2 linked regions of the Coturnix japonica genome follow. The main gene of each other region encodes a partner of the protein of the gene in region 2 in a complex. Links are inferred from orthologs where the notes say so. Each region holds a gene or a part of one and is shown on either strand. Other genes may lie near its edges.

The links.
Region 1: the proteins of KIFBP (region 2) and KIF15 are in contact, whole or in part, in a cryo-EM structure (PDB 6ZPH), measured with the Homo sapiens proteins. The link is inferred for Coturnix japonica from reciprocal best matches to the Homo sapiens genes KIFBP and KIF15. Residues at the interface, in NP_056449.1 of Homo sapiens: Lys26, Tyr33, Lys36, Ile106, Glu109, Ile147, Ser150, Glu151, Glu153, Thr208, His209, Tyr212, Tyr213, Gln216, Gln219, His220, Phe224, Gln238, Glu248, Trp249, Ile251, Asn252, Thr255, Gln258, Phe259, Asn262, Tyr415, Val416, Thr417, Glu421; in NP_064627.1 of Homo sapiens: Leu187, Glu189, Ile191, Lys192, Lys193, Arg231, Glu232, Arg235, Arg271, Met280, Arg281, Leu282, Lys283, Glu284, Ala285, Gly286, Asn287, Asn289, Arg290, Leu292, Ser293, Gly296, Gln297, Ile299, Ala301, Val303, Asp304, Val305, Gly306, His312.

Annotation. Positions count from the first base shown.
Region 1 is NC_029517.1:39,703,551-39,708,245, forward strand, and holds the start of KIF15 (kinesin-like protein KIF15), read right to left. Parts: upstream 3,090-4,695; 5' UTR 3,075-3,089; coding exon 3,056-3,074; intron 2,865-3,055; coding exon 2,825-2,864; intron 1,780-2,824; coding exon 1,596-1,779; intron 323-1,595; coding exon 246-322; intron 1-245. Other genes in the region: uncharacterized protein KIAA1143 homolog, read left to right, coding at 3,370-3,477, 3,990-4,149. UniProt on the Homo sapiens protein: Plus-end directed kinesin-like motor enzyme involved in mitotic spindle assembly.
Region 2 is NC_029521.1:8,805,650-8,810,185, reverse strand, and holds the start of KIFBP (KIF-binding protein), read right to left. Parts: upstream 2,938-4,536; 5' UTR 2,923-2,937; coding exon 2,479-2,922; intron 615-2,478; coding exon 516-614; intron 1-515. UniProt on the Homo sapiens protein: Activator of KIF1B plus-end-directed microtubule motor activity. Required for organization of axonal microtubules, and axonal outgrowth and maintenance during peripheral and central nervous system development.

The DNA of each region.
Region 1 (4,695 bases), on a different chromosome or scaffold from region 2:
TGAAATGAGTTTGCGATCCGCATTGTTGACCTTCAGTACTAAGACCGTAACTTCTACCACCAGATTTTTTAAGCGGAACAAGACATACTTCAATAGTGCAATTTCCTACATTGTTTTGAACTAAGATAGGATTTTCAAAGCCTAGTCTAACATGAAGCAGACTCAGGAAATTAAAACCACTATTAGTCATCAATGAAGTCTCCTCAAATAGCGTAATTGCTATGAAATGCGATTAATTGACTTACTATGCAAAGATGGTTCCATTGTAGCCATTCATACATGATTCAACAATACTTTTGGCCACACTTGAAAATACTGATTCCTGGGGACAAAGCAAGGAGAAGGAATTTGGCTCCAGTACTTTAAGTATCTCTTCTATCAGCCTTTTCTACGTGATAACTCTATGTAACATATAAAACAATTGCATTCTTTAAGGTCAGACAGGTTATCATGACCCTTGGAGATCTCTTGCAGCAAAAAAGTCATAAAACATTGCAAGTCTGTGGTGTAGAACACTCTCTGTGTAAAAAACTTTCTATTCCTATTTGATAACTGAAAGAGCAAACTCGCCACAATACGGTTTCAAAATGTTTATTACGTATAATATTAGTTTTTGTCTGATGTTTACTATAATTATGTGGCTTATAGCCATTTCCTAGACATGCACGAAAAGCCTAGCTGCAAATGATAGCTGACAGTGTTTCGTTTTCTTTTAGAGATGCTGTATATGTTATGAGTTCTTATGACATTTATTAAAAACTTCACAACTTCTATGCAGAGTTCTGCATGAAGATGGACGACAGGATGCTGTCACAAGCAGTTCATCATGTAAAAGACAGATGACACTTGAAGGATGACGCTGCTCCTTTATTAGAATACACTTTAAGTCAGCACTATTAAAGAGAACTCACTCTTACTCCTTATACAACCAATGCTTCATGTAACCAAGGAATTAATCACCATTTGTAAGGATATTGCAGAAACAACTCAGACAGATTACTTCCAGGTTTTCCCATTAAGATTATATTGCAGGAAGGAGAGAATTCCTTAAGGGCTTAGAAATATAAGTGTGGTGCTTGTGATGTTAAATGAAAATTATATTCAGAACTTCAAAAATGCAAGATTAAATTGGAGCATTTTCCCTTTGGTATTACCCTTACCAAGGTCATTAAGACCAAGCAGAAAAAATTACATACAGCTATTATAAGGCCATAAACTCCAAACAAACAAATCGTATCTTTAACATCAGTTATTGGCTACCATCTATTTTTGTGTGATTATCTCCACAGGGCGTTATTTTCTGTTCATGTTATTACTGTCATATTTACAAACAGAAGCTTTAATTCTAACACGAGCTTTGATTAAACAAATTAATGGTGCTTAAATATGCATAAAAACTACTCAAAAGTGGAATTCAGGGCCTCATGTCTGAACTACAACCATATATTACCAAATAGAACACAGCAAAAACTAAGACCCCCCTACCCTCCAAATATACAACCAAAGGGATTATGTCTTTAAAAAGGTTTAACACAGCAGTTGCCAAAATCTGGGGAAAACCGGCACTACCACTACAGAATTCTGTACGTTATTACCTGTGTTGTCTCCATATTTGCAACATAATCAAAAGTGAAGATCTTCGGCTCAGGCTTCGAATGGAGACGGATGGTGTTTGATGAAAGAACAGATAAACACAAGCCTTGATCTCCATCAGTTAATGCAGTTCCCTCTGAAGGGGGACGTACTCTTACGTAAACCTTGATAGCATCCCCTTCAACGCTAAATGAATATTTATGCATTAGATTTCTTTGAAATATCAGCTGTTTGTTAGAATTACATTAGAAAAATCAGATTAAGCACCTGAAATCATACAAACATATTTCCTCTAATTACAGACCTTCTGGCTGTACACACGAATTCATTATATGATACAATATTAAAGCTTACAATGTGGCAGATTAAAAAGGAACATAAAGCTGGTGGGATTTGTTGTTTCTGCTTGTAAATACAGCTCTAAAGGAACACATATCACAGAGAATTTGAAGTACAAAGAGAGGGGAGGAAGAGAGACCACACAGACCACTGCAGTTACAATGGGGCTTGAGCAATTTCTAAGGCTGTAGATTTCAAGCATCCTCTTCATTACAGGAACTCAGAAAAAGATTACACAAACGGAACACATGGTTACATATATTACACATATATTACAGAAAGAAATCTTGCATTTTCTTTGCTTTTCATAGGGAGAGAATAATCAATTCACAATCAATGATCTGATCAAGGACAGCAGCTCCTACAATTAAAATCTCCCCGGCCAATTTCACATTAATCAGTGGACACAACAGTTTGTTCTTTGTTGAACACTCTGAAGTAATGCCTCCTATTTTGTTATTCTGGCACATGACATCTGACACGGATGTTGGCGGTAGGGCAGAGGTGGACCTTCCCACCAATGAAGACTTGACACTGGATTTCAGACATCTCACTAACTTGACAAGTATTTTGTCATACAGGGCAGAAACTGTGTATATTTGGAGGGCTTTTTGTCTTTCTTTTAGCTTAGAACTCCTGCACAGAAGCCTAAAAATCCCTCAGAGATATAGTAGAGCTGGTGGGAGATCCAAGAGCTCTAAGAGAAATCCGATGCCTCAGAACCACACTTTGATTTAGGGATTTTGATTTTAAATCACTAAGTTGAGATATAGACAGTCCTGTGTGGGAAAAACACCGCGTGAAAAACTCAGCGTTACTTTCTACAGTGACACTATTTGCACTATCCCCCCCCCACACACAGAGTTATTCGTAGGAGCCAATAATACTTTACCTGGATGAGTTCATCACAGGCACCGCGGAGTCACGTAAATCTACAAAAGACGAACAATAAAATGAGGTAGATGAAAGGAATTACTGATAAATGCCCATATAAATGCTCTCGGGGACACCCGAGATGATCCCATCCCACGGCCACACACCACAGCCCGCTCAGCTCAACAGCCCTGAGGTACCCCCAGCCCCTCTCAGTTGCACACCCTGATCACCCCCTTATCCCCCTCACCTCTCGTGCCGGGAGCCATGATCCACGGGAGCCCTACAACCCCCCGCCCGCCCCCTGTCCCTCCAAAATGGCGGCTTGTTTGAATTTGGCGCTAAGAGCCGAAAGCAACGTGGCTCCTCCCCTATCATGAAGCCAACAAGGGAGCGGCCATTTCGTTACACGATCCCTTCCCCTGTTCTGCATTCTCTCCTCTCATTGGCTGGAAGCATTGCTGCCCCCGTCACGTGATGAAGGTATAGGAAGAGAGGCGGAAGTAGGAAGCGTGCTGGCTGTTCTTTTCCGGTTGCCGTCCTCCGCCACCGGAAGTGGCGGCCATGAGCAAAAGGAACCAGGTCTCCTACGTGCGGCCGGCCGAGCCCGCGTTCCTCAGCCGCTTTAAGCGGCAGGTCGGGTATCGGGAGGGGCCCACGGTGGAAACCAAGGTAACGGCCTCCATGAGGAGAGGGGCTTCCTTCTCATTGCTCGGCATCGTGTCCCTTGTAAAGGGTTCAAATGGTCTTTAATGGTCTTTAAAGGGTTAAAATGGCCATATCAGCTGATAAGCTGCTACAGTAGGGGCCGTAGGGCTTGTGTGTGCTTTTTATTCCGTTACATAAGACTCTGTAGCAATGATGGTGTATTCTCTGAACAGTTGTACTGAGTCCTACGAGCCCGTTTTAGTTGCCAAGTACAAGCAAATCCGTATTTAAAATACATAAATAAATATGTTTGTCCTTGCTGGACTGGGGCTGCAATAACACACACTGGAGGATGTGACAGATTTGTGTCATTTGGGCAAAGCACATTGGAATACATTGAAATACATTGGAAGAACCTGGTACTGTGAGCTGTGCAATGGCTTGCATCACTGCTGACCTGAAACCAAAACCACTGCCTTCTATTTTTCCAATTGATTTATATCATTTTTTTTTTTGCTTTTGTTTCTTTTCTCTAGAGAGAACAGCTTCCACTTGCGGATAGTGATTCTGAGAATGGCAGCGATAATGAAGATGAGCAGCCTCAAGTGGTTACCCTGAAAAAAGGGGACTTGACTGCTGAAGAAGCAATGAAAATTAAACAGCAAATCAAAGAGGCCTTGAAGTCGAGTGAACAAGGTGAATTTCAAACCACTAATTTCTTACTTCATATAGCCAAAGCGAGAGAATCATAAAAAGGAGCTTGATGATCTTTGCTTGTTTTCTATCATTTAATATCACCTTTGATTCCCAATCTGAAGTAATGTCCAAGCTGTCTGTTTCTATATGGTTGAAGCTCTGTTTTTCTTGATGGTGCGTCATTCTACTTCTAAAGCACCACGTTAATTTATTATTGATAATAATTGGGGAGTAGGGAAATGGAGTGTCATTAGCTTGCTGTATATTCTTCACATCACCTGTGATAACTTCTGAACTCACTAATCAGTTAATTAACCTTGTTCAATGGTAGGGTTGGGTGTATTAGAGGCAATCTTATGATAATACGTATGTAGGAGGAAACTCAAGTTAGTGCTTCAGAGAAGAGAATGACTGGTTTGTAAGCTTAGTTCCTCAATGAGTTAACTGGCTGCTCCACATCAGTACTTTCTTGAGATCATCCTCAGTGTGCATTGTGACTTGCATAACTAGTAGGGCACATGGAAAACAAGTAGCAGTGCTGCAGTG
Region 2 (4,536 bases):
AGCCTTTGTCGATACACAGCAGAATCCACAACTCAGAACACCATTTAACATGCAAAAGGGGTTTAGCTGTTCAGAAGACTGTCCTCTTGGAAACAAGCTGAACTACTTGCCTCTGTGCAGCATGACATTGCCGTTCAGTCAGAGAAAACCACGCAGATGTTACAGTTTGTTTTCCTTCTCGAACCAAAAGCAATTGCCTGACCTTCTAAAGCATTCCCATAATAAAAGTGGGATGATCTTAATCAGAAGCCAGATTCAGCACTGGAGTATCAATTCAAAGACCTTGTAATAAGGATCACTGTTTTCTGACACAAACTATTTTCTCAGATCCATGTTGGAATTATCAAGTGATCCTCCTACGCCTTCTATGCCAGTAAACAAACCACGCGGCTTTTCAGAAGCGACATCACAAAGCTCACAAACTCAAGTTGTTTTGTACGTTTTCTTCCACAATTATCAAAACTGTAAGTGGTGTATGAATGTAAGAGCTGCTGCCAGATTAATAAGCACCGTACCTCTTTCATGTACTGATTATACAAGGCTTCTGCAGATTCCAAGTAAGTCTGGCCAGTTTTAATTTCATCCCTTTCGGACCATAGGATACCTAGATTGTTCTGAAGTTAAAAGGGAAAAAAAAAGCAATTATTTTCCAATCAATTCCACTTACACTAAACATTTTCTCCATAGAATTTATTGGTCTTCAACCCTACGTATCTGCCTAATATAACTGATTCCAAAAGGCAAAAATTGTTCTCACCTACTTTATCACAAGCTGCTCAAAGAGGAGGGTTCTCACAGAGACAAGCATACAAAGTCACCTCACAAATGGCAATTTTCTGTGTTTACCCTGCTAAATTGTCCCTGGTGTGTTCATATAGAAAGGTTTCTGTACACAGTCTATTCTGCACCTGATTCAAGCAACCTTGAAATCATACAGATATAAGGAGAGTCAAGGACAAATAAATCTGTCACTGAGTCTTTGTGGAAAAACCTAATAGGGAAAAAGTGTGGAAGGAATGAATACCTGCACATTTTGACGAGGAAATTAAAAAGTGCTGTGGTGCAAAAGCCACAAACTTAAAGACAGTAGTGAATATCACAGCAAAGTGCATGGTAACGTCTCACTGCATCTACTCTTTACAAAAAACAACCCTAATGTTATTATTAAGTTGAAGGTGCTAATTGCAAACCCATGTTTAGTGGGCTAATTTAATTCCTAGCACGTGCTGTTACAAAATCTAACAGGACTGGAAACAAAAAACCTTCAGAAAGCTCTTACATGTAGCTGAATGCCAGCCTTGTAGACCTTTCGATTCCTTCTATTTTATTATATTTTAAGAGAAAGCCACACGTATCATGACAGCTATGAACAAAAACACTTTGCCCACAGCTGTGCAACAGAATTGACCAAATTTAATTAGCCAGAAATCATCACATGTATCCTTATGCAGAAAGGCAGAAAGGAGGAGGAGGAGGGCTATAGAAACAGGCCTGGTAGGAAAAGGAATGCTCCTCCTTGCCAAACAGGCATCAGTGAGGTGACAGTGTACTTTACAGCACTGGAGAGTACTCATGTAAAAGTACAGCCACTACTGGCTGCCACAATCTTGACGTTCAGTGTTGTGTTTTGGGTTTTTTGTTTGTTTGGTTTTTATTTAGATTCTCAAGTGTTACTTCCAGCACATCAGTAAAATTGCTGGGAAGAAATTATTTCCTTGGAGTGGCAGTGGGGTGCTGGGAATGCTGCCCAAAGCTGTGGGTGCCCCGTACCACAAATGGGCAGCCATTTGGGTCATTAGGGTTGGAAAAACTCTCAGCTCACCCAGCCCACCCCCTCAGTGCTACACCCCCACAGCTCTGCAACACCTCCAGGCATGGTGACTCCCCGCACCTCCCCAGCAGCCTGTACCACTGTATCACTGCTCTTTTGGAGTTTTTCCCTAATACTCAACACAAATCACCCCTGGTGCCAACTGAGGCAATCACCCCTCATCTTATCGCTGTTACCTGCTCTGAGGGTGACCTCCACCTCACTACAGCCTCTCCTTCTCAGGTAGAGCAGAAGAAGCCACCATCTGATCCACGCTTCACAGAAGCACACAGTCCCTTTGCAGCTTTACACTGTGTGGCTGTGAAGTACTCCAGAGCCCTTCCTAAATCACAGCAGCCATTTCTAAAAGGGACAACTGCTCTACATAAGTGAAAGTGTGTGTGTGTGTGTGTGTGTGTGCATGTAAGGGACGGGTTCCCACATAAACATCCAGAGGATGTGATCATGTTCTTCAGAATTTTCCTCTTACGTGTAAGATTAAAAACAAAAACATTCCCCAACTCCACTTGGGTAGCAAGTAAAAGCCAAGGCTGTGCAATAAGGTCTCAAACCAGCCCCCTACGGCTGTGCAGCCTCTCAGGCCTCACCTCCCCCAGCCCCGGGCCGTTCCTCAGCCCGTAGTCGACACCCCGCCCCCCCCCGCCCACCTGTGCCTGGATGTAGAGTGACACGCAGTCCCGGTTCAGTCGGTGCGGCTCGAGCAGCTGCGTGCAGCGCTGCAGATGTTCCTCTCCCGCCGACAGCTCCTCGGTGTCGGTGTGGTTGACGCCCAGCTCGAACTCCAGCACGGCCCGCCTCACGGCCAGCAGCCGCGGCTCGCTGCAATCCTCGGCGGCGCTCAGCTGCTGCTTCACCTCCTGCAGCAGCGCTCGGGCGCTGTACTTGGAGCGGTAGGGCTCCGTCTCCGGGTCCTTACGGGACTCCACGTCCGACAGCGTCTTGGCGTTGCGAAACTTCTCGCACGCCGCGGCCCACCAGCCGCCCGCCGCCGCCATCTTGTCGCCGCCGCCGCCGCCGTTCACCCGCCCCGCGTCACGCGAGCCCCGCCCCCCTCCCGCCGTCACGGCGACCCGCGAGACTTTGTGCAACATCAGACAGCGGCCGAGCGTCCAACGGCTGTTTAATGTGGTAAAAACACGGACAGTCCGCGCTCACTCGACGGCTGCCCCTGCCGGCCGGCCCTGCTGCCAGCCGCCGAACCTCCCGTTCTTCTTGAAGCCGCCAAAGCGCGGCTGCGGCCTGCGGCTCGAGTCCTGCGGCTGCTCCTCCAGCTCCGGCAGCTCCTTGGCCACCGCCAGCTGCCAGCGCCGCGTGTCCCGCCACTGCTCCTGAGACACAGACACCACACGTCAGCACTGCGAGTGGCACAGCACCAACACAGCACAGCACAGCCATGGAAAAAGAGGAAATAACCCAATGCTTCTGCCCATCTCTCAGTGCAGCATCCCTGTTACGTCACACACCCCATCCTCTAACCCACCCTGAACAAAATCCCAGGTAAGACCATATATCCCACTTCACATAACACAACTGTTCCAACTGTAATGTACCTGTATGTTATTCAGCTCATCCATGGGGATATCGAAGCACACCCCCTGTAACAACAGGTAAATAAATAAATAAATAAAGTGGTATTTTCTTTCCACAAATATATCCCAGGACACAAAACTGAACACACACACACACACAAACCAACACCGCCACCCCTCCTTCCCAAAGGACGGGCTGTCTTACCATCTTCCCCTTGAGGAAACGCATGGCAGATATCTTGCTGTCTATTTCCTCGCCAAGCTGCTCCTTCAGCCCTCTCCAGGCGTAGCTCATGGAACGCATCTCTATAGAGCACTGTAACACCATAGTCACAAAGCCCTTTGGGAGTAACAGAGAAATACACTTGTAAGAGGAAACTGAACTTGCTTGGACAGCCTATAGCTTATAGGAAGTAAGGTGCTTCCTGAAAAAGGTAAACTACAACAGCAAGAGCCAGCCTATCAGACTGTAAGGATTCCTTAATTAGGCTCTTCTGTAGCATCAAAGACTTGAGTTATTTAGATGTCCAGCACAATTACTTGGTGTCTCATTGCAAGAAAACGTGCTGACTGTTACCAAGTCTCTCTAGTTTCCCACAGCATGCCAGTAAGTGCGGAGTTCCATTAAAGAACATTAAACTAGAATGAGCTAACAGTTCTAAGAAATCATACTCAAAGGTCCTGAAGAGAAGGTACTAAAATGCCACACTTGCACAGAATTCAAGCAATCCTTTTATCTGTTCTTGTTAAAGCAGTTATAATGTTATTTACCGCAGCTGAGTTGAGTAAGGAACGCTGCTGTATGGAAGATGCCCCAGAAATATGGGCTAGAGCTGCTGCCAGGGCATCAACTGCCCCTTTCTCCTCTATGATCTCTCGAGCCGCCTGCCTGAAGTAGTCTATCGCAGAAGAAGGAACGGCATATAAACACCTGCATGTGGACAGCATGACAGTTGAGATCAGCACACTGACTGTCAGTGTGAAGTGCAGTCACATTCAACACAAGTTAGAGTTTAACAGTTTAAAGATTAACAGCAACTCCTGCACTTTTTTAAAGATGAGGTGAATCCAACACCATGCTTATCATCTTCACATCTGTGATATCCTCACCCGCTACCAAACCCTCCACCAAGGCAATTTCTACCAATCAGGCAGCAAACATAAGCACAGCTGCAT